7 linked regions of the Sus scrofa genome follow. The protein of the gene in region 2 purifies or fractionates together with the protein of the main gene of each other region. This does not show direct contact. Links are inferred from orthologs where the notes say so. Each region holds a gene or a part of one and is shown on either strand. Other genes may lie near its edges.

Evidence for each region.
Region 1: the proteins of SMAD7 (region 2) and TGFBR1 purify together in Homo sapiens (affinity purification with western blotting; 19 studies listed by BioGRID). This does not show direct contact. The link is inferred for Sus scrofa from reciprocal best matches to the Homo sapiens genes SMAD7 and TGFBR1.
Region 3: the proteins of SMAD7 (region 2) and TGFBR2 purify together in Homo sapiens (affinity purification with western blotting; 3 studies listed by BioGRID). This does not show direct contact. The link is inferred for Sus scrofa from reciprocal best matches to the Homo sapiens genes SMAD7 and TGFBR2.
Region 4: the proteins of SMAD7 (region 2) and RNF111 purify together in Homo sapiens (affinity purification with western blotting; 3 studies listed by BioGRID). This does not show direct contact. The link is inferred for Sus scrofa from reciprocal best matches to the Homo sapiens genes SMAD7 and RNF111.
Region 5: the proteins of SMAD7 (region 2) and USP15 purify together in Homo sapiens (affinity purification with western blotting; 3 studies listed by BioGRID). This does not show direct contact. The link is inferred for Sus scrofa from reciprocal best matches to the Homo sapiens genes SMAD7 and USP15.
Region 6: the proteins of SMAD7 (region 2) and WWP1 purify together in Homo sapiens (affinity purification with western blotting; 3 studies listed by BioGRID, with this or other methods). This does not show direct contact. The link is inferred for Sus scrofa from reciprocal best matches to the Homo sapiens genes SMAD7 and WWP1.
Region 7: the proteins of SMAD7 (region 2) and ACVR1B purify together in Homo sapiens (affinity purification with western blotting; 3 studies listed by BioGRID and IntAct, with this or other methods). This does not show direct contact. The link is inferred for Sus scrofa from reciprocal best matches to the Homo sapiens genes SMAD7 and ACVR1B.

The regions. Positions count from the first base shown.
Region 1 is NC_010443.5:240,858,872-240,862,885, reverse strand, and holds the start of TGFBR1 (TGF-beta receptor type-1), read right to left. Parts: upstream 2,801-4,014; 5' UTR 2,786-2,800; coding exon 2,563-2,785; intron 1-2,562. UniProt on the Homo sapiens protein: Transmembrane serine/threonine kinase forming with the TGF-beta type II serine/threonine kinase receptor, TGFBR2, the non-promiscuous receptor for the TGF-beta cytokines TGFB1, TGFB2 and TGFB3.
Region 2 is NC_010443.5:98,539,516-98,543,815, reverse strand, and holds the start of SMAD7 (mothers against decapentaplegic homolog 7), read left to right. Parts: upstream 1-1,500; coding exon 1,501-2,113; intron 2,114-2,137; exon of another isoform or gene 2,138-2,675; coding exon of another isoform or gene 2,676-2,748; intron 2,749-2,754; exon of another isoform or gene 2,755-3,059; intron 3,060-3,453; coding exon 3,454-3,507; intron 3,508-4,300. UniProt on the Homo sapiens protein: Antagonist of signaling by TGF-beta (transforming growth factor) type 1 receptor superfamily members; has been shown to inhibit TGF-beta (Transforming growth factor) and activin signaling by associating with their receptors thus preventing SMAD2 access.
Region 3 is NC_010455.5:16,822,370-16,825,869, reverse strand, and holds part of TGFBR2 (TGF-beta receptor type-2), read right to left. Parts: intron 3,428-3,500; coding exon 3,259-3,427; intron 1-3,258. UniProt on the Homo sapiens protein: Transmembrane serine/threonine kinase forming with the TGF-beta type I serine/threonine kinase receptor, TGFBR1, the non-promiscuous receptor for the TGF-beta cytokines TGFB1, TGFB2 and TGFB3.
Region 4 is NC_010443.5:112,960,966-112,963,283, forward strand, and holds the end of RNF111 (E3 ubiquitin-protein ligase Arkadia), read right to left. Parts: intron 2,148-2,318; coding exon 2,030-2,147; 3' UTR 501-2,029; downstream 1-500. UniProt on the Homo sapiens protein: E3 ubiquitin-protein ligase. Required for mesoderm patterning during embryonic development. Acts as an enhancer of the transcriptional responses of the SMAD2/SMAD3 effectors, which are activated downstream of BMP.
Region 5 is NC_010447.5:27,062,014-27,065,513, reverse strand, and holds part of USP15 (ubiquitin carboxyl-terminal hydrolase 15), read right to left. Parts: coding exon 3,347-3,500; intron 1-3,346. UniProt on the Homo sapiens protein: Hydrolase that removes conjugated ubiquitin from target proteins and regulates various pathways such as the TGF-beta receptor signaling, NF-kappa-B and RNF41/NRDP1-PRKN pathways.
Region 6 is NC_010446.5:50,415,244-50,418,743, reverse strand, and holds part of WWP1 (NEDD4-like E3 ubiquitin-protein ligase WWP1), read left to right. Parts: intron 1-41; coding exon 42-126; intron 127-258; coding exon 259-387; intron 388-1,872; coding exon 1,873-1,948; intron 1,949-2,050; coding exon 2,051-2,122; intron 2,123-3,500. UniProt on the Homo sapiens protein: E3 ubiquitin-protein ligase which accepts ubiquitin from an E2 ubiquitin-conjugating enzyme in the form of a thioester and then directly transfers the ubiquitin to targeted substrates.
Region 7 is NC_010447.5:17,312,912-17,317,121, forward strand, and holds the start of ACVR1B (activin receptor type-1B precursor), read left to right. Parts: upstream 1-1,410; coding exon 1,411-1,501; intron 1,502-1,769; exon of another isoform or gene 1,770-3,185; intron 3,186-4,210. UniProt on the Homo sapiens protein: Transmembrane serine/threonine kinase activin type-1 receptor forming an activin receptor complex with activin receptor type-2 (ACVR2A or ACVR2B).

The sequences.
Region 1 (4,014 bases), about 140 Mb from region 2:
GTGAGATCTCTGGGTACTAAGTGATGGCCCTAATCATAAGCCTCAAGTACTGCTCTAAGCACTGAGTACAAATGGGAAATCCTGTAAACCCTTTGAGAGGATGGCTAAGGAAGATTAGCTTGGCAGCAGCCTATAAGCGAGAGAAATACTGAAAAGCAAATGGATTTGGGGGTAGGGAAAAGAGGCAGGACTAAACTGACAGCTGAATCCAATGAGGGGAAGAAACATTCAAGAAGCATTAATGTAAAGAAGAGCTGAGTTTCAGGTATATTTTCAAAGAAAACATTATGAAAGAGCACACTCACATGGGTACATAAGCAGACATACTGGTAACTAAACTGTGCACCAATGACAAGGAACCAATTTCCCTAGAGAAATTTATGTTGGAGAGAGAAGCTGGGCAAAGAAATACAAAACTGATAACCTGGACAATGAGGGAACAACTACAAACTCTTAGAAAGGAGTTTAAAATTACAAATTTTAAAAAACATCTGAGAAGTTCCCACTTTGGCACAGTGGGTTAAGGATCCAGCATTGCTGCAGCTACAGTTCAGATTTGATCCACTGCCTGGGAACTTCGATATGCCATGGATATGATTGCAAAAGGAAAAAAAATTAAAAATAAATGAATAAAAAGACCTGAGCTTCTTCAGAATGTATGAAAGGATAAATGGAAACATCAGCGTAACCTACCAGGGCAGGCAGACCAGTTGAGATAGTCTAGACTTAAGGATGATAGCACCTGGATCAGCTTTGTCTTGTCTGCATGCCAGTGTAGTCTATTAACTCCTCCAGGGCACAGACTAAGCCATGCTCTGTACATTAATGAAGTCCAATATTGTTACTTGAATATAGGAACACTCTGTGTGCTAAGCTAGGTGGAAAAGAGTGAACTGTGTTATTCGAGTTAATTTTATGCTTGATGCATATCTATATTGATTCTCCCACCTGTCTTGACCCCCTTCTCAGGCCAATGTCAAAAATTCACTGTTTCCTCTAATGAAGGCCAGGTGTGAAAGGACTCCAAAAATGTACTAGGAGCCAGAAAAAAGCCAGCCTGTTTTTCTAATTATGAGGGCAAAATCTAAAAGTGAATAATAAAAATCAATTATTCATTAGAGGACTAAAAAAGAAAAATGGGCTTCGCCAGACAGTTAAGTGTGTATCTTAAAACGTATAGGTTTTGCAAACACTGAACCCTTGGTACAAATCCTAACTCCAGCTCTTAGTAATTGATACTTAACCCTCTCCACACCTCAGTTTTCTCATCTATAAAATGGGGCAAATGCCACTGGGCCCTGAGGGATGTGAGGATTAGATAGTACACTTTTGGTGTACCTTATGCACCTATACCACAGTAAGTCTTCTTTAGACAGCTGCTTATAGTAATATCTGGCACCCTAAGTACTGAGTTTTTTTGTTTCAAAAGCATTTGCTGTTCAGTTACAGAAAGAGAAACTTATTTTAGTTGCTTATACTAAGGCTCTATATTTCAGTTTCTAGTATTATAGTTGGGATGCTAACAAAGTTTTTCACTCCTCCCTCCACGGGGTAGATGATGACCATATACCCTTTCCCAATTTATATTTTGGAAAATGCAGCAAACATTCTCCCTTGAAAACCAGCTATACAGACAACTGATGAAAACTACCGTCACTCAAGAAATGCAACATCTCTAGAGATGTCCTTCGAGGAAATAAAACGTGTGATCAACTCAGTCATTTCCATTCAAACATTCCAAACCCCGCAGAGTGAGCAAACGTTCAAGTTTCTACTACGAAACAATTTGTAGCCTTCTGGTTAGTGGATTCACTTCAACACTTCCCCAGACGCACGAAAAGAAGAAACATTCCGCACATCTCAGTGCCTCCTTGTCCTCAAACAAAGCTTCGCAGCACCTCCCATTCCAAAGCCACCCCTGGATGAGGAAGCAGCCCCTCTCGGCTGGGTCAGACCGGCGCCGAAGGCCAGGGAGGCCTGCTGACCCGAGGGTCTCTGCTGACTCGGGGGTCACACGTCGCGCCCTCCCACTGCTGGAGGAGGCCCTGGAGACTTGGAGCTCACACTCCGCCCTGGAAGCCCCCTCCGCCCCCAACCCCGCCCGGGCCCCCGGAGCCTGAAGCACCTAACAGCTCTGGGTGCGGTGCCCGGGACAACGCCACACAGCGACTAGCGGGGACTCGGGGCAGCCCCAGCTCTCCAAGTCCAGGAGAGCCTCGCACCCTGGGGCCCTCGGCCTGCGCCCACTCGCTTCCCAGAGGGCAGCCCCCAACCCTGGACGGCTCCGCCCGACGCTACCTCCCTCAGAGTCTGCAGCTCGGGCGGCCGCGGGCTGCCGGGCACGTCCGCCCGCGCTAGAACCCACGCCCTCGCCCCGCCTCGGCCTCCCGCCCGCGGCTCGCGTGGCGGCAGCCAGGCACTTAAAGTCCGGCCTCCGCCCGGGCGCCGCCACCTGCGCCCCCGGCCCCGCGCCATGTTTGAGAAAGAGAAGGAGCGAGCCAGAGGCCGGGCCCGGCCGGCGCGCCCCGCAGCCACCGCCAGCTCCGCCGCGCCGCCGCTCACCCGTCGCCTCCGGGACCAGCGTGGCCGTCGCCGCCAGCACGAAGAGGAGCAGCCGGGAACGCGAGCACCGGCCGCCACCTCCATGGTCCCGCCGCCACTGCCTGTGGCCCGGCCCGGCCCGGCCGCCGCCTCGCCTCAACAAGCTTCGCCTCGCCCCACCTCCCCCGCCGCCGAGGCGGCCTCGCTCCGGCCCTTTGTAACTGCTTGGGGGCCGCGCGACCATTGGCTGTCGGGCTCCCGCCGGCCCCGCCTCCCCGCCGTCTGCAAGCGGCCAAGCGGGACCTACCCAGGAGCACCGCCCACAGGCCCGCTGGGCAGCCAATCCAGAGCCGCAGGCTTCCGCTCACTGGTCACGCCCCCAAACTCCCGGGGGGCCGGGCAGCCAGACCCCTGCCCCAGCAGGAGCAGCTCCGAGTTCCGTGGAGGCCGGGTGGGGGCAGGGTCTAGCCCAGACGCTGCCGAGGCTCCCGCCTTCAAGGGCTAAGGGCTAAGAGCTAAGGGCTGAGCGATGGGTGTGTCTGGGTATGAGTTGCTTTCGGAAAAAGGCTGTGGCTGCTCGACGCTTTTTTCTCCTAGCCTCTTTTCTTCTCACCTAAGATGTGGTACTAAGCCCGACCCCAGTTCACAGCCCTGCACCATCAATTCCCCACATTCATCCAGATCCTTAGTACCATCAGGCAGGCTTCAACTTCCCCTCCCCATATCCACGTCTCAACTTTCAAAATCCCCGCCCCACGATGCTGCTTCAGTGCCTTTCGTATATTACCCAGTCTACTGTTTCCTCCCGCTGTCACATCCACCCAAAACCTAGATACCCACCCCAAAATTCTAGGCCCAGAAAGTCTCCAAATCCTGGCCTCAGACCTCAGATCCTGAGCTCAGACACACCCCCAAACTGCCTCCCGCCCCTCTCCGGAACTCAGAGCCGACCCAGACTGGGCTCCAAACCACACTCCTTTCCCCTTCCCCCTTCCTGATTCTGCGGGGCAAGGGAAGAGCCTCATCCCTATGCCCAAAGGAGAGGGATTCCTGTTCTTAGCACGCAGCACCCCCGGGGCGGAGGAGGAGCAGTCATTAGTTTGAGCTGCCTCTGACACGCCTGCACAATAATTCTGAGGTGTCACTAGAAACCCAAATAAACTCGGCTACGTTTTCATTCTGAATTCCTAATTTACTGTGAGACGCTCCACCCACCTTCCCTCTGGGACGCCAAAATGAGCTCCAGATTTGTAATTCTTCCCGTCAGACTAGTCCTCTCTTCAGACACAAACACAACCGAGAAGGCTGTTACACAGAACAGAGAACATTTTTCCACAGAACCTTTTAAGGAGAAAATTTTATTTTCTGTGTGATTTGAACTTGGAATTAAATAAACCTTGGTAGCAGGACTCAGAACCAGCCTCTAGTATTGATTTGTAATTACTCTAGCGATACTCCGTGAGTATTTTACAA
Region 2 (4,300 bases):
CTCGCCGCGCGGGAGAGAGCTGCCCGAGACAGAGCCAGCCCGCCGGCGCCGAGCTGCCGAGCGCCTGGCCCAGGAGTCCCTGGTGCGGCGCGGCGAGCCCCCGGCGGCGGCAGAAGGACTCGAGCGCCAGGAGAGGGCGGACGGGGGACAAGGAGGCTCCCGGGCGCGACGAGGAGAGTCTCGGAGGAGAAGGCGGCGTGAGGGACACCGGGGCCTCCAGCCGACGCAGCCTTGTCGGGGCGAGCAGCCCATAAGGGGAGCCCCGGCTCCCAGGGGAGGGGACACCGGCGGCCCCCGCGCTAGCGAGCGGAGGGCGAGAGCGCGCGACCCGCCAGGGGCCCGCCGCGGCCGCCGCGCCGCCCTCCCCCGCGCTGTCAGCCCCGCGGGGCGCAGCCGCCGCCGCAGCATCTTCTGCCCCTGCGCCCCCGCCAGCCCCGAGGAAGTCCCCGCCGAGGACTAGGGCCCCCGGGAGCTCAGGAGGAAAGACCAGAGACTCCTCCAAATCACCCAGATGCGAAGGATTGAAACAGCCTAGCCAAAGCTTTCTGTGGATTAAAAAAATACACGGCTTTTTTTTTTTTTCCCCCGAAGAAAAGGAGAGGAAGACCAGTGGGGCTCTGCAAGGAAAAAGGGGAATGTAACTCGTGGATACCTTTTTTCCACCCCTCAGACGTCTTGTTCTACTTTGTAAACATTTTCTTTTTTTAAACCCCAGCTCCAGCCAGACGCCCCCAGACCTCCGGGGTGCGAGGAGGTGGTGGTTTTCATTTTGGGCTTTGCGTATTTGGTTCTTAGATTTTGAGAGAACCTCCTTATTTCGCCAAACATCTCCTGCGGGGTGAAGTCCACTCGGCCCCCTCCCCCGAGTCTTCGTGTGCACGGAATTCAAGGAGATCCGGTTACTAAGGATATAGAAGAAAAAAATAAATCGCGTGCCTGCCTTTTTTTTTTTTTTTTTAATTGCCTCCTTCTCCCCACCCCCAAATTAAGTTGCTTAGGAAGGGGAAAAGAGGCTTTTTCCTCCCTCCGGCAGCCCAGCCGAACGCCTTTCTTTTTTTGCCCCCGCGGATCTTCCATGTAGGAAGCCAAGGCTGGCGAGCCCGACACTCGGGAGCCGCTGCGGGGGGGCCTCTTTTTGGGGAGGCGCCGACCGGGGTAGGCTTCGCCGCCCCCAGGGAAGCGGCGGCCGCGTTCCTCCGGGGTGCGCCGGGGCCCGAGAGCAGCGCGCGGCTCGGGCCGCGCGGGGTGGGGCAGCCGGAGCGCAGGCCCCCGAGCCCCGGCGGGCGCCTCCGGGCCCCCGCGCGCCCCCCGGCCTCCGGGAGACTGGCGCATGCCACGGAGCGCCCCTCGGGCCGCCGCCGCTCCTGCCCGGGCCCCTGCTGCTGCTGCTGTCGCCTGCGCCTGCTGCCCCAACTCGGCGCCCGACTTCTTCATGGTGTGCGGAGGTCATGTTCGCTCCTTAGCCGGCAAACGACTTTTCTCCTCGCCTCCTCGCCCCGCATGTTCAGGACCAAACGATCTGCGCTCGTCCGGCGTCTCTGGAGGAGCCGTGCGCCCGGCGGCGAGGACGAGGAGGAGGGCGCGTGGGGAGGCGGTGGAGGAGGCGAGCTGCGGGGAGAAGGGGCGACGGACGGCCGGGCACATGGGGCCGGTGGCGGCGGCGCAGGCAGGGCTGGCTGCTGCCTGGGCAAGGCGGTGCGAGGTGCCAAAGGTCACCACCATCCCCACCCCCCAGCCGCGGGCGCCGGCGTGGCCGGGGGCGCCGAGGCGGATCTGAAGGCGCTCACGCACTCGGTGCTTAAGAAACTGAAGGAACGGCAGCTGGAGCTGCTGCTCCAGGCCGTGGAGTCCCGCGGCGGTACGCGCACGGCGTGCCTCTTGCTGCCCGGCCGCCTGGACTGCAGGCTGGGCCTGGGGGCGCCTGCCGGCTCACAGCCCGCGCAGCCGCCCTCGTCCTACTCGCTCCCCCTCCTGCTGTGCAAAGTGTTCAGGTGGCCGGATCTCAGGCATTCCTCGGAAGTCAAGAGGCTGTGTTGCTGTGAATCTTACGGGAAGATCAACCCCGAGCTGGTGTGCTGCAACCCCCATCACCTTAGCCGACTCTGCGAACTAGGTAAGAAGTTGTTCTGCGCCCACCCACCTCTCCCCTTGGCGCTCAAGTAGTGAAAGAAAAGCCCCCTTCGGCTGTGTGTTTGTGCAGCTGTCTCGCCAGAGGGGAGAGTACATCCCCTCCTGGGAGAAGACTAGAGGGACAAAGGTAGAGAAGGGACTGGGGGGAACCTGGAAAGGCATTCCCTGGGGGTTCCCTTACAGTTTTTTTCTCCTCCTCTGTTTCCCCTAGCGGGGTTTTGGGCACTGCTCATGCACACACTCTACAGACCGGGGGTTAAAAATTAGATAGATTTCTCATTTCCGGATCAACCAAGGGGTGCAGAGAGAAGTGTGTGGGGGGGAGGAGGGGGGGTCACGCCTCCCCTGCACCCGGAAAGGCGTTGAGGTGTGTGGCCGAGTTGGATTCGGTCCAAGCCCGCCAAGGAAGGCTGGGAGAAGCAGTTGTAAAGACTGGAACGTCTCTGCCTGCTCCTTTAGTAAATAAGGAGAGTCCTGTCGGGCACAAGTGGCTGGGAAAGTGCCCTGTCCGGAGTAGCTTTGTGTTTTGGGGCGAAGAGAGTTTGATGGGCGGCGGCGCTGGATATCTGCTCTCAACTCTGCCAGCCCAGGGTGGAAGAGGACAAGCAGTCAGGAGAAGTTGGGTGCCCTCTGCTTTTTCCTTTCTTCCTGCACAGGAAAGCACAGTTCCTGACTGCAGAAGGGTCGGGCCCCAGCCCTCCCTGACGACACGGCCCCTTAACAGCTCTGGGGCCTGGGCTTCTCAGCTGAGATCCCAGCCTCCTGCATTGCTTTCCTTTTCTCTGCATATTTGTGTGGGGCGGGGGTGCACCCGGGGCGTTCACAAATCCAAGTTCACCAGCGGACTTGGGGTAAACCTCGCGGGTGGGCTGGGAGAGGGGAGCCCCGAGTTCCCCCGCGCGGTGTGGAGAGGAGCTGCGGTGGCCAAGGTGAATTTGCACCCCTGGGGGACGAGTCAGGGTGGGGGGGCGGCGGCGGGAGTCGGATCTGAAGTTCTGGGACCGAGCGGGGGCTTGGTCGCCCCCCGCCCTGTGAACTGTGAAGTGCCCGGCCCCGGTAGAGCCGGTGGTTTCCAGCCGGGCCGGCCGAGCGCGGCGGCGGCGGCCGCAGACGTGGAGGAGCGGAGCGCCGAGGCTGGCGCCAGGCGGCCTCTTTTGTTTATCTGACAGCTAAATATCAAGGCAATCACCGCCTCGCGGCCCTGCCTCCAACCCCCACAGCTAAGACAAACAGTTGGGCTAAAAGAATGCCTCTGTTATCATAAGTTTCTATCTCTCTTTCTCATGGCTCGGCCTTTATTTTCTCTTTCTTTTTTAATTCCAGAGTCTCCCCCTCCTCCTTACTCCAGATACCCGATGGATTTTCTCAAACCAACTGGTGAGTAGAGGGTTTTAAATATATCCTTCCTATCTTAGGTTAGAAATGGAGTCTCTAGAACTCGGATTTTTTATGTCTAGGCAGCGGCTTGGGGAGACCCTGGGCTTGCCCCAAGGTGGTTATAGGTTTCCTCTGTGGGAAGTTTGGTGGATTTTTTTCTGTTTTTGTTGTGACTGAACCTGGAGATAATATGTGTGTGTATAGATACAATATTATGCATGTATGTGTTTTTCTTTTTTTTTTTTTCAAAGATGTTTCCTAGATATGCATTACATTTTGTTCCTTTTTTCATGTATTTGCACTCCACAACCCAAGTTGGCTCAGCTTTTAAACACGTGGAATTTGATCCTTGCAGAAGTGTCTTGGGAGCCAAAGAGGACAGGTTGATGGGAAACTTTGGAGACGTTATGAGTGCCAGAAGTATCAGTGGGAAGAATGGATAGCTTGGTGGGAGGGAAGACAGTTTAAAAAGGTACAGAGAGGTCTTTGGGGTAAGCGAATTTGAACCTTTAAGACGTAAAGACGACAGGCCCTTCCCTTCCTGGTTTTCTCAGAATTCTTGGTGGGGGCTCTGAAAGTTTTTAGCATAGTTCTGCCTGCCTGTTGCTTTGTCACCAGATGGCTTGGGGCCAGGGCAGAAGCCGCACTTGAGACTGGCACCAGCCCCGTTGCGGTTGTCTGCATTCAACTTCTGACTGGCAGTGCAGGGGCTCACAGTGCCAGGGGAGGCGGGGGGTCCTCAAAGCTGGGACTCAGGGGTGACCACTGGATGGTCCCCTGTATCTTAGAGCCC
Region 3 (3,500 bases), on a different chromosome or scaffold from region 2:
TCCTTAACCACTAGGCCACCAGGGATATCTACACACTGATTCTCATTTAAATCATGAAAGGGAGGGTGTGGGAAAGCAGGAGACAGCTAGGTCCTCAGGGTGACTATCAACCTTCCATGCTCAATGCACTGCCAGGCAACACTAGGCTTGCTGGACAGAATCTGGCTAAAATGTTTTCGGGAAAAGTAGTTACAATTCTTTTCTGCTTGCTGGGCCCAGGGCATGGTGGCTGAGGGCACATCCAAGCCAGCAGCTGAGAAAACGGAAGCAACTTTCTAGATGAAGAATTTCAGTTTGCCAGAATGACAGAAAGGACAGAAGAGGGAAAAAACACAGATCTGTGGGAAAGAACTGCAAGGTGTTCTTCCTTTATGGTTCAGTGAAACAGCTGATGCCGCCGTATACTGCTGACTCTACAGCCAGCGTCCCAGCCACGCTGCAGACTCGGAGTCCCACTTGGCAGAGGGCTGGGTGTCTCCCACGCGGCCTGAGCCACTGAAGATGTGGGCGGTACCCACTGACAAAAGAACCTCGGTAATGAGATTAATCTGGGTTCTGAAATATCTCTATCCTTGCAAAGGACCTAGGCATGTCACGGGGGATTGGCTGCACAAGTTGTATTAGTGAAACGAATGAATGAATCAGCCAATGAATGAGAAGTGCATGGAAGCTGATGCCAGGAGAGCAGAACCAGGGACAGCAGAGTCCTTTATTCCCTGACTTGCTTTTTTTTTTTGTCTTTTTAGGGCCATACTTGTGGCATAAGGAGGTTCCCAGGCTAAGGGTCCAATCAGAGATGTAGCCACTGGCCTACACCAGAGCTACAGCAATGCCAGATCCTTAACTCACTGAGTGAAGCCAGGGATCGAACCCACATCCTCATGGATGCTAGTCGGGTTCATTAACTGCAGAGCCATGAAGGGAACTCCCTGACTTGGTATTTTTAAGACCGCCTCCCACCTGAGGGTGTGGGTCCTGGACACAGACTCTGAGCCGTGAGATCTCTGTGCAGAGGTTTGGGGAGATGCCTCTGTGGCGACTCAAGGGAGTAGGGCTGCACAGAGCTAAGAGAGGGGTTGCGAAGAGACCTCAGCCAACCTCTGGGCAGTTGGGGGGCTGGGAGCACTCATCTGAGCTGTCCCAAGTTGAGGCAAAGTGGCCAGACGTGTGGGCCCCTGCACCAACCAGTCCTAGATGCTAGCTGCCAGTGCAGAGGCGCCAAGCCTGCCCTACTCCAGGGTGGGTGGAAGGGAGCTCCCTGGAGGGATTTGGGGTGGTTCCAGCAGCCCAGAGTGAGTGCTTCAATGCTACAGGGGGCAGGGGCATGGGAGGGCATCCCCACACCTCCTTCTTTCCTCATCTGCACCCCAGTTCCACTCCTCAGGAAGATGTGTCTTTGCCAAGACAGGTAAAAACACCACTCACTGTATTGACTCTTTGGGGCTGAGACTCAGAGGGGACAGAGAGGGTCTTCCCCAGCGTGCTCACATCTTCTGAGATGGCAAAGCCTCAATTCCAGGGATGCGTGACTCACACTGCATCACTGGGACTTGTGCTGAGGTCAGGGCAACCACCTTAATGACAAAAGCCTGTTTGGGGGAGCAGAGGTAAGTTCTCACCCCCAGGGGACATTTAAGTAAGGATGGTCAGCAGAGAACAGAAGTGAAGGAGCCTGGGGTCACCTCGGCTGGGATCTGAAGCTTTCCTGCACTAAACCTGACAGGTGGTCAGCAGCCTCTCCTGGTCTGACTCTTCCAAAGAAGGGAGCCTGTCCCACATTCAGGAAACTATGATTGAGAAAATTTTTAAACTGAGTCTGTCTGTTTTTCCCCTTGTAAATTCTATGGGTCTCTCTCTGGCCTCTAGAGTTCTGCAGAACAAGTTGATTATAGCTTCCGTCTGAGAGTCCTTCAGATCTCTCTCAACAGAGCCCAGGTCCTCATGTCTAATTGCCTCCACCAGCCCTCAGCACACTTCTGAACCTCTGGATCACACTGGTCCCTGTCCTCTGAACACAATCTCTCACAAAATCCCCTTTTCAAAAGCATTGCTCAGAGCTGGACATGAGTGCAGCTGACAGGTACAGCAAGCTGTCACAGCAGGTCTTTGCTGTCATGTCCTTTGGTTCTTCTGAACCTAATTCATGTCCAGGTATGTAGGGAAATGTGCAAGGCTTTCATATCTATCATCAAGGCTGAATATACATGGTCTGGAGAAAGTCTCAAAAGACCTCTTTCCAAGAAGGAGGGGAGATATGCGAGTTTACATCCTCATTTGCAAATGTTCAGGAGATACAGAGGTGACTTTGAAAAAAAGAGCTGATGAATTGAAACCATCAGAAGTCTTCAAAAATGTTACATTTCATTAATGAAGGGGTATTCTTTATAAAATAAGGACTCACTCTGTTGTCCTTTCACCTCTGGCTCATACTCCCAATTCATAATGATGAGTTAATCAAATGATTCATGAGCACCCACTCTGTGTGTGTGTGTGTGTGTGTGTGTGTGGTGTGAGAGAGAGAGAGAGAGAGAGAGGAGAGAGAGAGAGAGAGAGAGAGAGAGAGATGGAGATGGGGTGGCAGGGAGATAGGAAGAGAAGAGGAAATCTGCTCCAAGAAAAAGATATGCTTCTGCTCCCAGAGAAAGATGCAGTGTTTGACCCAGCAGTGACATGATGCCTTGGCCAAGCCTTCTGACTAAGGAATGGCTTGTCCTCTGGTGCTGTGCGTCCTTTCCCCCTTTTGACAAGTTCTTCCTTTTTACAACAGCCCACTTTTCCTCTCCACAAAACAGGACTGAGTTTGCCTCCGAAGAACAAAGCTCTTGACATCACTACAGGGTCCTCAGGGGTGTCAACTAAATGATAAGCAAGTGACAAACCCCTGATACAAGGAAGGGTTTCCAGATTTATTATAAATAGCAAAGGGGTGTGTATGTGTGTATGTATTTGAAAAATTATAGAGTATCTCTAGAAATGACACTGAATAACTGAAAGAGAGATAGTCTAAAGGGAAGGGAGTGGGACAGGATACTGGGCTCCAGGCAGGAAACACATGACTACATGAGTGATAGAAAGGTTTAAAAAGGCAGCCTTGGAGTTTTCTGGTGGCTCAGAGGTTAAGAACTTAGCATTATCACTGATGAGACTGGAGTCCCTGCTGCGGTGCGGGTTCAATCCATGGCCTGGGAACTTCTGCATGCCATGAGCATGGCTAACAAAAATTAAAATTAAAATTATAATAAAAAAAGGCAGCCTTACCAGACAGCCACGCAGACCTCCTGTGGCTTCTCACAGATGGCTGTGATGCTGCAGTTGCTCAGGCAGGACTTCTGGTTGTCACAGGTGGATGATCGCACATCACAGAATTTACACAGTTGTGGAAGCTTGACGGCACCATTGCTGTCAGTGACCATCATGTCGCTATTAACTAGGAGTGAAAAGAAGATGCAGGGCATGGTTATCTAACTGCTAGGTATGAATGTGATTTCAAAAGAACCTGA
Region 4 (2,318 bases), about 14 Mb from region 2:
AAAAACAGAGGAATCTATCTATATTTGTGTTTAGGGGAGCATCAAGAGGACTCTATTATATTGAATTCTCCCCATCTTATCCCTTGGCACAGACCCTGTGTTTTATAGTGGTGAAGCCCTACATCTGTCACATGCTATTGGTACTAGCTCTTGTCCCCAGTAAGATGGCATACAAAGTTTCTCTCCTTTTCTCTCATTCTGTCTCATCCCCTTCCCACCAACTACAGCTTAATCATCAAATGTTCTTTTTAAAAATGTTATTTCATATCCAAATTTCTTAACCATAGTCCATCTTCCATCTCTCCACATATTATGTTCAAGCACCTGATACTGACAATTACTACAGAGTAACTATTTACTAATATTAATAAAAGACAAGAAGCCATAACTGAGTAACAACCATCAAATTATGTAAATGTCAACTTGAATGAGATCATTATTTTTGAATTCCAAATGTTTAATATAAATGGTTTTATAAAAACAAACTATGAAAACACAAAGACAATAGAAATATAAGTTATTTATTAATCAATCCACTTACAAAGCAGGTGGCTTAATGCAAGCTTATTGACATCTTCACATATGATTCATGGGAACATGTCTTCCACATACAGACAGTGATGTTACTGACTGATGCATTTGCAATCTGGGGCATATTAAGCATATTTAGACAAATAAAATTAGGCTATCCTGTATATGAAAGTATCTTGATATATGCATCCTGAAGTGGATTAAAACTTTCTCCAAAGGAGAAATGTTAGTACATTAACTTAACTTTAATATTCTATATTATGCAGTAAATCTTAACTATAGAAATTAAAAATTTTAAATCAGTGATCGACTCTTGGTAATGTACGAAGTGGGAATCTAAAACCAGAGCAACAGTAGGTTGACAGCATAATTTGTGCCTCACAGTATCTGCAGATTTACTGTTTTCAAGTTTGAAGAGAAATAAAACAAGAGACATGTAGATTCAGCTGACTTTATTTATCTTTAAACTAATAAAAATCCCTTTAAAAGTGATCCTGGGACCTTTAGAAGTTCTATGAATGCATAGATACCTGCCAGTGACTGCAATTCTAAATCCTGACTAAATGTGTTTACAAAACTCAACACAAGCAGATATCTTTACTATACGTGCTTAGCAGAAGACTGAAAAATTCTACATGTCTTCTTCGATTTCCCTAAAATTTTGTTAAATCTGCAAGTATATACAATCCAGCTAATTGAAATTAATATTTAGTGTTCATCAGAGCTGTTTCACAGCAGCAAAAATTGAATCTGGGAAATAAAAGTTCTAAACAATGTAGGAAACGATAAATACAATCAGAACAGCAGTCTAAATGTATGATATCAATATTCAACTCTATCTGCATTGTGCTGAAAGGAAAAGGATACACCAAGAAAATTTCTATTGATCACTCTGGTGATGTGAATACCACCTGCATCTGATTGAAAATGGTTTATACTCTGTTCCCAGTATCAAGGATGGTATTTAACTCAGAACTCCATATTGTAAATATACAGCAGCCATTGTGTCCTAATTAAGGAATGTCTTAATACAATATTATCATTTTCTAGAGGATTTTTATACATTAAACTAAAGTACATGATTGATTAAATTAAACGTTAGTAATGGATAAAAAAATTCATAATTCTCAAGACCTGGTACTATGTAAAAAACAAAAAGACCACAAAATTCTACTTACTAAAGCAGCTAATCTTGCCTGCAAGTTTAGGGTCACAAGCCCATAATATGTGCAAAGAAATGCAATACAAGGAACCATGCAAAAATACAGTAAAATGATACAGGAAAAATGTCAAATCTAGAAAAAAAGGCTTTTATAAATACATCAAAATCAACTGTATACATAAACTGTACGTCTAGCATTAGTTGTACCATATAGCAGAGCCAGCACTCTAAGTTCAAGGCTTCCAAATCTGCGCAGGTAAGTCATGCCATCTTTGGTTGACTGCAGTACCAGGAGGGTGGGAATGAGAGGGAGGGCAAGAGTTCTGAAACATGGTGTCAACTCTCACTTGGCAGCTGGGCCTCAATGTCCACTCTGCATATGGGGCACTTCTTATTGGTAATCAACCACTGGTCAACACACACTTGGTGGAAAAGGTGCATACAGGGAAGGCGTCTATTATAAGCAAACAAAACAAAAAGCAAAAATTAATCTTATGACAAACACTCATGATATTTATTTTTAAACAAATGATATATGCAGTAAGTCAGTAATGTTTTCAAGTTACTAGACAGCATTCTTTTCTATTAAAAAATCCCAGGAGTTCCCGTCATGGCGCAGTGGTTA
Region 5 (3,500 bases), on a different chromosome or scaffold from region 2:
CTCCTATAGCACCGTCAGAGCACTTTTCACACCATATAAGCTTCTTGAGAACAAGGACTAGGAACACCTTTGTAATTCCAGCACCTTGCAGAGTATGTGAGTCCAATTCCTAACACATGTTTCAGTTCAACTACTAATAAACTTCTATGATTTAAATCAACTTCAGTGACAGGAAAACTCAAGTAGGCTAACCTAGTTAACTTCCTTTTCCTTTTGAGCTGGTTAAAGCATAGTGTTAATGAGGTGATTATTTTGGATTTGAGTTGTTACAGCCTCCAAGTGGAAAAAAAAATCCAATTTCCTATGCTGACCATGGTTCTACTATCCATACATTTTTATTGCTGGTCACCAAAATAGAGGTAAATTAAAGAAATCGACATTGCTGGAAAAATAAATTAAAACCCAAATTATGGGAGAATAACACAAACCTTATGGGCTAATGTGTAACTTGAATTCAATCTGCCTCTATATAATACAGATTATATTACTGGCATGGGAAAGCACTATTTTTGGCAAATGAGTGTAGAGAGACAGTACATTAATTTTTAGATTTTTTACTCATTTTCTAAATACTCCTCTTATTTCCTTATACTTATTGGCATATATTTGTAAAGTTACAAACTAGAGAGGTAAGGGTGTAGTTTAATACTGCTATACTTTCTCTCCTTTAAAAAGAATGTTAACAATCCTATACTTATAAATAAGTGAATAAGTGAGTAAAGGATGTAATTTTAGAAGTATGTTCATATATTCCCTTGGCCAAAAATAAAAGCAGGTGTTTATTAATCCTGCTCATAGATAAAGGCAAGTGCCAGGTCTCTCTTGCTCTCTATAATATCTTCAGCACTACGGGATCAAATACTGACAGGAGGGTAGCAGATTTAATGAGTTCATGAAGGAGACATATTAAACAGACAGCAAAAGCAGTGGGTGAAATCTGCATAACTGGGTACATGACCAGTCTCTACTACACTTATTACTTTGAATGAAAGGACTATATTTTTTATTAATTCCTCATATTCTGGGTAAACTCAAACACTTGATGGTAAACTCAAATATTTCCATTAAATGAATGGTAAGATCATAATTTTGTCCAAAGCATATACCTTTCATGTAGATTTTATGAATAATGCTATGGACTGAATTGTCTTCTCAAAATTCTTATGTGAAGTCTTTTTTTTTTGCCTTGTTGTTGTTGTTGTTGCTATTTCTTGGGCCGCTCCCGCGGCATATGGAGGTTCCCAGGCTAGGGGTTGAATCGGAGCTGTAGCCACCGGCCTACGCCAGAGCCACAGCAACGCGGGATCCGAGCCGCGTCTGCGACCTACACCACAGCTCACGGCAACGCCGGATCGTTAACCCACTGAGCAAGGGCAGGGACCGAACCGGCAACCTCATGGTTCCTAGTCGGATTCGTTAACCACTGCGCCACGACGGGAACTCCTTTATGTGAAGTCTTAATCAATGTGATGATATCTGGAGACGGGGCCTTTGAGAGAGAGTTTAATGAGATCATGAAATTCACATTGCTGGAAAAATAAATTAAAAACCAAATGGGGCCCTCATGATGGGATCAGGACCCTTCTAAGAAGAGACAACAGAGAGCTTGTGCTCAACACTCTCTCTCCCCCTCTCTGCTGTCTGAGGACACAGTAAGGAGGAGGCCATCTGTAAATGAAGGAAGAGAGTCTGTACTAGAAACCGCCACACTGGCATTCTGATCTTAGATTTCCAGCCTCTAGAACAGGAAGAAAACAGATTTCTGTTGTTTAAGTCACTCAGTCTATGGCATTTTGTTACACCAGTCTGTGCAGAATGAAGCAACTAACACACTCTAACAAACTGCGCTTCTATTTAGAACCTTCAACTAGGACCTTTAGTAAACAATCTTCTAAAGCAGGAGCCATGTCTACTTTGTTTACCAGAGCTTTATACTCAGTAGGTGCCTAATACATATTGAATGAACAAAATTTCTAAACACCTCTAAGTCCTGAGGGTTGGACAAAGATTTACAAAGTTTTCAAATTCTTTGAAATCTTCAAAGAATTCATGGTCTAGGGGAGAAAAGTTAAAGTAAACCAAAGGTCATAATAAAACCTGGTAAGTGTTATAATAGAATTTAGGGGAAAAGAAGGAGATAAGAAATACTTTTACTAGGGGGGGTCAAGTGTCAAAAAGGACTGATTGATTAATAAAGGGAGAGAATAGTGTTTTGCTCCCTAAAATGTAAAATAATCCAATTATGACCCTAAGCAATGGAATCAGGCAGACAACTGATACTCTCAACAGTTAAAAGGTAAGAACGTTGGTGAAACAAGTCCCCCCACCTTCTTTAAATAGCCACAGCTACTGCATTATGGAAGTTCCCAGGCTAGGGACTGAATTGGAGTTGCAGCTGGGCCTACACTACAGACACAGCAACACTGGATCAGAGTCACAGCTGTGACCTAAACTGCAGCTTGCAGCAATGCTGGATCCTTAACCTACTGAGGGAGGCCAGGGATTGAATCTGCATCCTCAAAGAGACAGTGTTGGGTCCTTAACCTGCTGAGCCACAAGGGGAATTCCTGAAGCAAGTATTTTTAGTATAACTAAATTTATGTTTCTCTTTCACATTCTTTAGATGCCTAAAAATTACAGGTATTTAAATATTACCATTATTTTATCATATCATGAATCAAAATGTACAGTCCTATTTTCACTTCCATAGCCACTAGGAAAAAAATTACAATTAACATTAAAGAAAGTTCAAGTTGGGAAATAGGGAAAATAACACTACATTATTAATCTTTGTAAGCTAATATTCATACCAACATTGTTAAGTCAAACCACTCTCATTTTTCTTTGATAAGAAAAAGCCTTTGAGAAATTTTTTTCTACATGACAAATAATGATACTCTGCACACTGCTCACCCTTTCAAGATCCTGAAAAGTTGTACTGATTTCCAAAGTATTTATCTTATAAAAATCTCATGCAAAAAAGCTTAGTTTTATCTAATTGTGTTTGAGGCATAAGGACTCATCACAAATTTTTCATAAAAATAACAAATGCCAAGAAAATAATCATTTCTTGGAGTTCCCGTCGTGGCGCAGTGGTAAACGAATCTGACTAGGAACCATGAGGTTGTGGGTTCGATCCCTGGCCTTGCTCAGTGGGTTAAGGATCTGGCGTTGCTGTGAGCTGTGGTGTAGGTGGCAGATGCAGCTCAGATCCTGCATTGCTATGGCTCTGGCGTAGGCTGGTGGCTACAGCTCCAGTTCGACCCCTAGCCTGGGAACCTCCATATGCCATGGGAAGCGGCCCTAGAAAAGGCAAAAAAAAGAAAAGAAAAGAATCATTTCTTACCTGCATAGGTTTGGTAAGTGGATCCATTCTAACTAAATAAACTTCCAAGGTACGTTCTTTTTTCATGGGCAATGGAAGTGTCAGGTAACAAAAAGGATCAAATGTTACTGAAATCTTAGCACATTCAGGACAAACTAAAGTTGATTTAAAAAGG
Region 6 (3,500 bases), on a different chromosome or scaffold from region 2:
AGCAAAAAGTTATTAAATGCTATGCTCACTCTGTTTTTTAGAAAAAAGAGTGGATTCAACAGACAGAGTTTACTTTGTGAATCATAACACAAAAACAACCCAGTGGGAGGATCCCAGAACCCAAGGGTACGTATGTACTACAGCCTTTCTTAGGTTATCTTACACATGTCTGAAGATAGAATTGCATTAAAAACCTTGATTCAGATGTTTTTAGCACCTGTAAAATGTTCACCTTATGATTATTGCATTATCTTTTAGCTTACAGAATGAAGAACCCCTGCCAGAAGGCTGGGAAATTAGGTATACCCGGGAAGGGGTTAGGTACTTTGTTGACCATAATACAAGAACAACAACATTCAAAGATCCTCGCAATGGCAAGTCATCTGTGTAAGTGAAGCTCTTATGTGCTGTGTAATGAGGACATAGGTTTCACTTCTAATTTAGCCTCAAGTTTAGCAATAAATTTTATTTTGTGTATCAAGAAAATTTACACAAGTAATACTCTACTATGCCTGTCTTTGCTCTACCTTCTTATAGAATGATTTTGCGGCACATAATTCCTTAGTAAGAACGATAGTAAATATTTACCTAGTGATTACTGTGTGCCAAGGATTCTTCTAAACATTTAGTGTAAATTAGCTCATTTTATCTTCCAACAATTCCTTGAGGTAGATACTGTTATTTTCCAAGTTCAGAAACTGAGGCTTAGGGAGCACAGCTAACTTATGCAAAATTATAGGCAAGTAATGGAAGTGGTTTCAGACCAAAGCAGTCTGTCCGAAGAGTCTGTGCTCTTAACAGGTGCATCATGCTGTTGCAACATCACAGAATGAGATGTTCAAGAAAATTTAATTTTCCAGGTAAAAATAGCTCAATTAAGCATTTGAAAGATCTCTCCTTAACTCCCTTATTACTCTTAGTGTAATGTCCTTGTATCAGTAAGTATGTAGAAATAGCCATAAAAACTTTTTGCAATTCCTACCGTTGCATCTGTCCACCTATCAGTATCTCTCTTCCCTCTTCATCCTGAAGATGAACTATCATCGTTCTTATCAAAGTCCAGTCCTCCCTGTGCTGGTGCACTAGCTCTTCCCCCTCTTTTCCAGTTCACTGTTCCAACAGTGATCGTCTTTATATTCTCCATCTTTCTCTGCTGAATTATTCTCAGCAGCTGTTAATTTCCTTAAATTAAAAGCAAACAGGGAGTTCCCTTCATGCTCAGTGGTTAACGAACCCAACTAGGATCCATGAGGATGGAGGTTCGATCCCTGGCCTTACTCAGTGGGTTAAGGATCTGGCGTTGCTGTGAGCTGTGGTGTAAATCACAGACTTGGCTTGGATCCTGAGTTGCTGTGACAGTGGTGTAGGCCAGCAGCTGCAGCTACGATTCAACCCCTAACCTGGGAACCTCCATATGCTGCATGCATGGCCTAAAAAGCAAAAAAAAAAAAAAAAAAAAAAAAAAGACAGACAAGCAAAACACCATAATTCTTCACCTTATGAATTCATTCAGTGAAAATTCATTTTTATTGCTACACTTTACAAGAAAACTACCTGAAAGAGCCTCTGCCCACCTGGGATTTGAAGTTTTCTTTGAAATAGTCAGTAGTTGACTTTAGTATTTTATTTAACTCACTTTTTTTTTTACAAAAGATCTATCCATACACATGCCCTCCCTCTTCATTTTTATATGTTGTGTGTCCTCATTACTTGAATCTCTGTTGGCCCACTAAATATATCTTTACTTCTCTCCCAGCAAGTAACTTTCCTGTACTCATTTTTTGGACCCTGGTACACTCCAGTCACATACTGAATATTAAATATCCAGCTTTATTATGAATTATTATATAGTTTGTTTTTGTTTTTCTTTAGAACTAAAGGTGGCCCACAGATTGCTTATGAACGCAGCTTTAGGTGGAAACTTGCTCACTTCCGTTATTTGTGCCAGGTACTACGGTGGTAAATAAATCTTATGTTCATAATCATTTAGTTTTATCTTTACACAGTACATGCACTGTAACTTACATTACAATGTTATTTTTCTTTGTAGTCTAATGCACTACCCAGTCATGTAAAGATCAATGTGTCCCGGCAGACATTGTTCGAAGATTCCTTCCAACAGGTAAGAACGATTTTATCAGAATAAAATAGTACAGTTAGCCTCTGTATCTGCAGCTACCACATCCGTGGATTCAGCCAACTGTGGATAGAAACTATTCTGGGGTGGGGACAGACGGGACTCCAGAAAGTTTCTAAAGGCTAAATTTGAATTTGCTGCAGCCAGCAAATTCAGGCATACCTCATTTTCTTGCACTTTGCTTTTATGTCGCTTTTGCAGATAGTGTTTTTTACAGATTGAAAGTTGTGGCAACCTTGTATTGAGCAAGTCTCTTGGCACCGTTTTTCCAGCAGGATGTGCTCACTTGGTGTCCCTGTGTCACATTTTTGTGATTCTTGAATATTTCAGACTTCATTATTAAATTTATATATTGATCTGTGATCAGTAATCTTTGATGTATACTATTGCAAAAAGATTACAACTTTCTCAGATGATGGTTAGCATTTTTTTAAATAATAAAATATCTTTTAATAAAGGTATGTATGTCTTTTTAGACATAATGCTAAACTTAATAGACTACATAGACTTATTAAGACTGTCTAGACTATTAAGTCGAGACTTAATAGACTACAGTATGATATAAATATAACTTCTACTCACACTGGGAAACCACAAAATTCATGTAATTTGATTTATTGTGGTATTCTCTTTATTGTAGTGGTCTGGAACCAAACCTGTAATATCCCCAAGGTATCCCTATGTTTATGTAGTATTTATATTGCATTACTTATTATACATAATTGAGAAATAATTTAAAGTATATGGGAAGATAGGAGTTCCTGTCGTGATTCAGTGGTGGTTGCGGGTTCAATCCCTGGCCTTGCTCAGTGGATTAAGGATCCAGCGTTGCTGTGAGCTGTGGTGTAGGTCGCAGACGCAGCTCAGATCCCATGTTGCTGTGGCTCCGGTGTAGGCCGGTGGCTACAGCTCCAATTAGACCCCTAGCCTGGGAACCTCCATATGCCGCGGGAGCAGCCCTAGAAAAGGCAAAAAGACAAAAAAAAAAAAAAAAAAAAAAAGCGTATGGGAAGATGTACATAGCTTATATTACTTGACTGTCTTTGGATTTTAGTATCTGTGGGGGTGTCCTGGAACCAACCTACCTTGGATATTGAGGGAAGATGTACAACTTGTCTCATTGTATTCTGTATATCCAAAGGGAGTTTTAGAATTTAGAAATTTGAAACCACTCAGAACACAGCTCTATCAATGACTATCATTTACTGTGTGTTCATTATAGTAATAGTCATAATAAATCCTATCATGTGTTGAGTGACTGCCATATGCTCGGCACTGGCATCTTATTTTCTTTTATTTATCTATATAGTCTTTTTATGGTCGCACCCACGGCGTATAATGTTCCCAGGCTAGGGGTAGAATT
Region 7 (4,210 bases), on a different chromosome or scaffold from region 2:
CCAAAACCCTGCCCTTATCGGATGCAAACTATTGCTCTTGGAATAGATTTACTATGAGATCCTGCTGTGTAGCACTGAGAATTACGTCTAGATACTTATATCGCAACAGAACAAAGGGAGGGGAAAAAATGTATACATGTAAGTGTAACTTGCTGTGCAGTGGGGAAAAAAAAAAACAAAACCTGCCCTTTACGTGATTTCAGTCAAGCTCTTTTTCAAGCTAGGGAAAAGGAATTCTTTTTCAAAAAGACATGGGTGATTCAGTTTACCTTCTATAAGCAGTTTTTTCTAAATTTGAAAGTAACACCTGCTTATTGGTAAAATATTTAGAAAACACTAAACTGTTTAAAGAAAAAGTAAAAAATTATTCTGGTGATAACTACTGATAATACTGGGTCATTTCCTTCCAGCCTTTTTTTCCAAACAGAGGTAGAGTATCAACAAAATTAGAACAATACTGTAAATAGCTTTGTATTTTGCTCTTTCATTTAACATTACCTCCTGAACATTTTCTCACATCATATTTTTACAAACATAACTTTTAATTACTAAATAATGCTCCATCATATAGACAGGCCATATTTGTCTTCTATTGCATACTTAAGTTTTTAGCTTTTTACAATGATAAACATGCACCAGTTAACATTTCTCATAAATATCGGTCCTCATCTCTATTGTTTCTTGAAGACAGACAGGGGAGAGGGATCCGAATATTTTAAGACATTTGATACATAATGCCAAATTGCTTACCAAAGGGTTCTACCTACCAGCAGAATAGAAGTGCCTCACACAGCACTCTTACCAAGATTGAGTACTGTCATTAACAAGCCCTGGTATGTTCTGAAAAGGGGCATCCCACCATTCGATCACACAGGTGTCTGTGTGTCCTGCGGATGGCAGGGGGCCACACCGGGCGGGGAGAGCAGTTCGGAGACGGCTGTGACGACCCCAGTGGGACGTGATGGGGGCCTGAGGCTAAGCAGTAGGGACGAAGGGAACGGGAACCCGCTCGGGACTCGTAGAACATTCGATGCGGGGGATGGGGGTCGGTGCCGACAAGATCACGCTGCGCTGCAGGGGGTGTAGGCCTGGGCGGAGGGCGCGTGTCCGGCTCGGCCTCCTTGGCGCCGGGCTCGGCACCCACGGGTGAGGTTGGCTGAGACGCGAGCCCCTCCCACCCCTTTAACAGAGACACTCCCCTTTAAGGCGGGCGCCCGCGCGCACCCGGCCCCGCCCTTCGGGTGCGCGCGCGGCGGCCGCGGCGCCGGCTCCGCCGGGAGCGCACGTGCCGGCGCCGGGCGGAGAAGAGGGAGGCGGGAGCCGGGCCGCGGGAGGAGGGGAGGCGCCGGGGGCGCGCGCGCGCGCGCTGGGCGCTGCTGGGCTGCGGCGGCGGCGGCAGCGGCGGTTACTATGGCGGAGTCGGCTGGAGCCTCCTCCTTCTTCCCCCTTGTTGTCCTCCTGCTCGCCGGCAGCGGCGGGTCCGGGCCCCGGGGGATCCAGGGTGAGTCCCGGGGCGGGGGCGGGGGCCGAGATGGAGAGGGCCGGGCGAGGGCGAGGCCTCGCGCCGCGGCCCCTGGCTACAGCGCGCCCCCTCCCCACGCGCACAATATGGCCGGGCGGGGGGCGCGGGGGAGTCGCGGGGACCCCCAATCGGCTTTCCCGGACCCCGGAGGCGCGGCTGCCCAGCTGGGACCGAGCTCACGCCGGTCCCCTGGGGACCCGAGCCCTCTTCCAGGCGGAACACGATTCGAGGAGCTCTCGGGGGTCGCGCTCCCAGTACCCCCGTGTTCCATAATGGGAAGTGCCGGGTACCTTCCCCAAGATTTGGAAATCCACGTTTCTGCCCCTCAATATGTCCAGGGGCGGGGGTCTCCATTCCCTCCCTCCAGATGCTCCTGGGGGGCGCCTTTTCTCCCGCCAAGATTGTGGGGCTCGGGCAGTGGGGTCTTTGGCTCCCCGAGAGATCCCGGTGTTGAGAAGCCTCGCGCACCTCGGATGAAAGGGGTAGCGGTGTCAAACCCTTCCTTCAGACCCTGCACTTGGGGTGCCTCTAACCCTCCCTCTCGTTCCTCCCTAATATTCTGGGAAAGCGAGTCACATTTCCCCTTCGCGCAGTCCCTTGAGTTCAGTGGGGCCACCCCCCCCCCCCAATACACATGCCCCGCGGAAGCTCTTTGGAGGAAATGGGACGAATAGGCCCCTAAACCTTTCGGGAGCTTGTCTTAGGAATCTCTCTAACCCTAGGAAACCTAGTCCCCAGAACGGTTAATCTGCATCTGGGTGTATTTGCTTTCCACCTCGCCTCGCCCACCCCACCCCAGGGGGCCCATTCAGTTCATCACTTTGTGGATGCCTTTCAGGTGACATCCTAGACCCTGCCTCCCACCCCCAAGATTATTTAAAGACCCCACCACTGGACCGGCTCCCGGCCCTGGGTCAGGATTTATTTACCTTCCCGCACGATCCCTCTTCCCAGCCCTTCCCCCCACGCAGTCCCCCACCCTCACACACCCCTTACCTTCCAAGCCCCACAGCCTCCTGCTCTCTCATGGCACCCCCACCCTTCCCTGCCGAGGTGGTACCTTTCCGAGGGACTCTCCACTGGGTGTGTTGTTTATGAGGCTTAGGGGACTGAGGCGAGCAGACGAAACCCTAAAATATTTAATTGAAGGGAGTCGTCTCAGATGTGTGTCGGCATTGGGGTAGCAGATGAAGGTTATATTTGGCAGTTATATTGAAGTGATTATTGACCCACAGAGGGATCTGGGAGAGACGATCGAGATTGTATTCACTCCCCATGTACAAAGCCTGCTGCTGCTTTGACTTCTCAGCAGCCCCTAACCTTCCAGCAGCAGGAGATCAAGTGTGTGTTCTGTGGCTCTCTTCTCGCCACTAAAAATAATGGTTCTCCGGTGGGTTGAGGCTTCTTTTAAAAACCAGACGATCAGCCAAAGACAGCATCCCACTTTGGAGTATCAAAAACAAGTTCATTACCTCCGGCCTTGATATTTGTTCCCAGTGGTGCAGCCTGTGCAGTGGGCTCTTTGTTCACCGGCTAATGCTTCTGTTAAGCACCTCGTGCGTGTTCCTGGGGCTGGCGACTCTGTGGCATAGGTAGCACACCGCCGCTGCCGTGGGGTCTGATAGACGTGGTGAAGGTGTGTGAACGCAGCCTGAAAGGGAGGGTAAGTTCCTGGTTTTCGTGAACAATGTTTGCTGGGCCTTGCTTTGGGAGTATGTAGCATGTTATTTCTCTGGTAGGGTGGTTAATAAGGAGACTAAGCCTTCAGGTTTGTCATTTTACACGTGTAGGTATAAATCTTTAAATTCCTTCCATAGGAATTTTTATCCTGCTCCTAATAGGTCCAAGATTTGTAACAGCCATTTCCCTGTTGGTTTGGTGTGGTGTTTGGTGGGGTTTTTTCTTGTTGTTGTGAGCCTAGTTAAGAATGTTTAATTGATAATCCAACTGGTTCTGAGTGGGGCAGGGTTCATTTTTTCGGTAACCTTCCTAAAATGGATGTTTGTTGGGGTGAGGGTGGGTGGTCATAAGAGGGAGTTGATTTCTTTTTTTGGTAAATTGGAAATTAGGTTGTGTGTCCAGCAAACATTCTCAAAGGCCTTTAAACTTGGCCAGACACTACAGTTTTTTTCCTGGACACATCTAGTTGCCAATAGTGCATGTTACAGAGACCACTGTTGCAAAAGGCTTCAAGTCAAACATCAGTTCTGGGAAAAGAGAGGCTGTGCGATAACAAGAACTTGATTGCTGCCCTCCCCTGCACTTCCTCTGTGGCGCTTCCCTAGGTGGGCCGGAGGAGTGGCCGAGCCAGGCAGCCCTGAAGCCGGGTGCTTGGACGGGACCTGAGGGCAGCAAGGGATAGGTGTCTGTTCAGTAGTGAGCTCGCAGCGAATCAGTACGAGGCCAGTGATAGGAGCGTGAGTTCCAGGTTGTAAACAGCATTCATTTGACAGGTGAACCATGTTTTCAGGCCTGCCTTTGGAGTTTTCATGCTAGTGTTTTAAAATGTAAACCTGAATTAGGAGCAGAGAATCTGACATTCATTTCTTAAGACAAAAGCAACAAGGGAGATGCTTGAGGTTCAGAAAGGAATATTTTGAATTTCTGTGAATAGACTGAAAATGTAATTCCAGGCCAAGTCTTGTAATTTTGTTGAGTGGACATGAATTTGAAGTATGGTGAACGCGA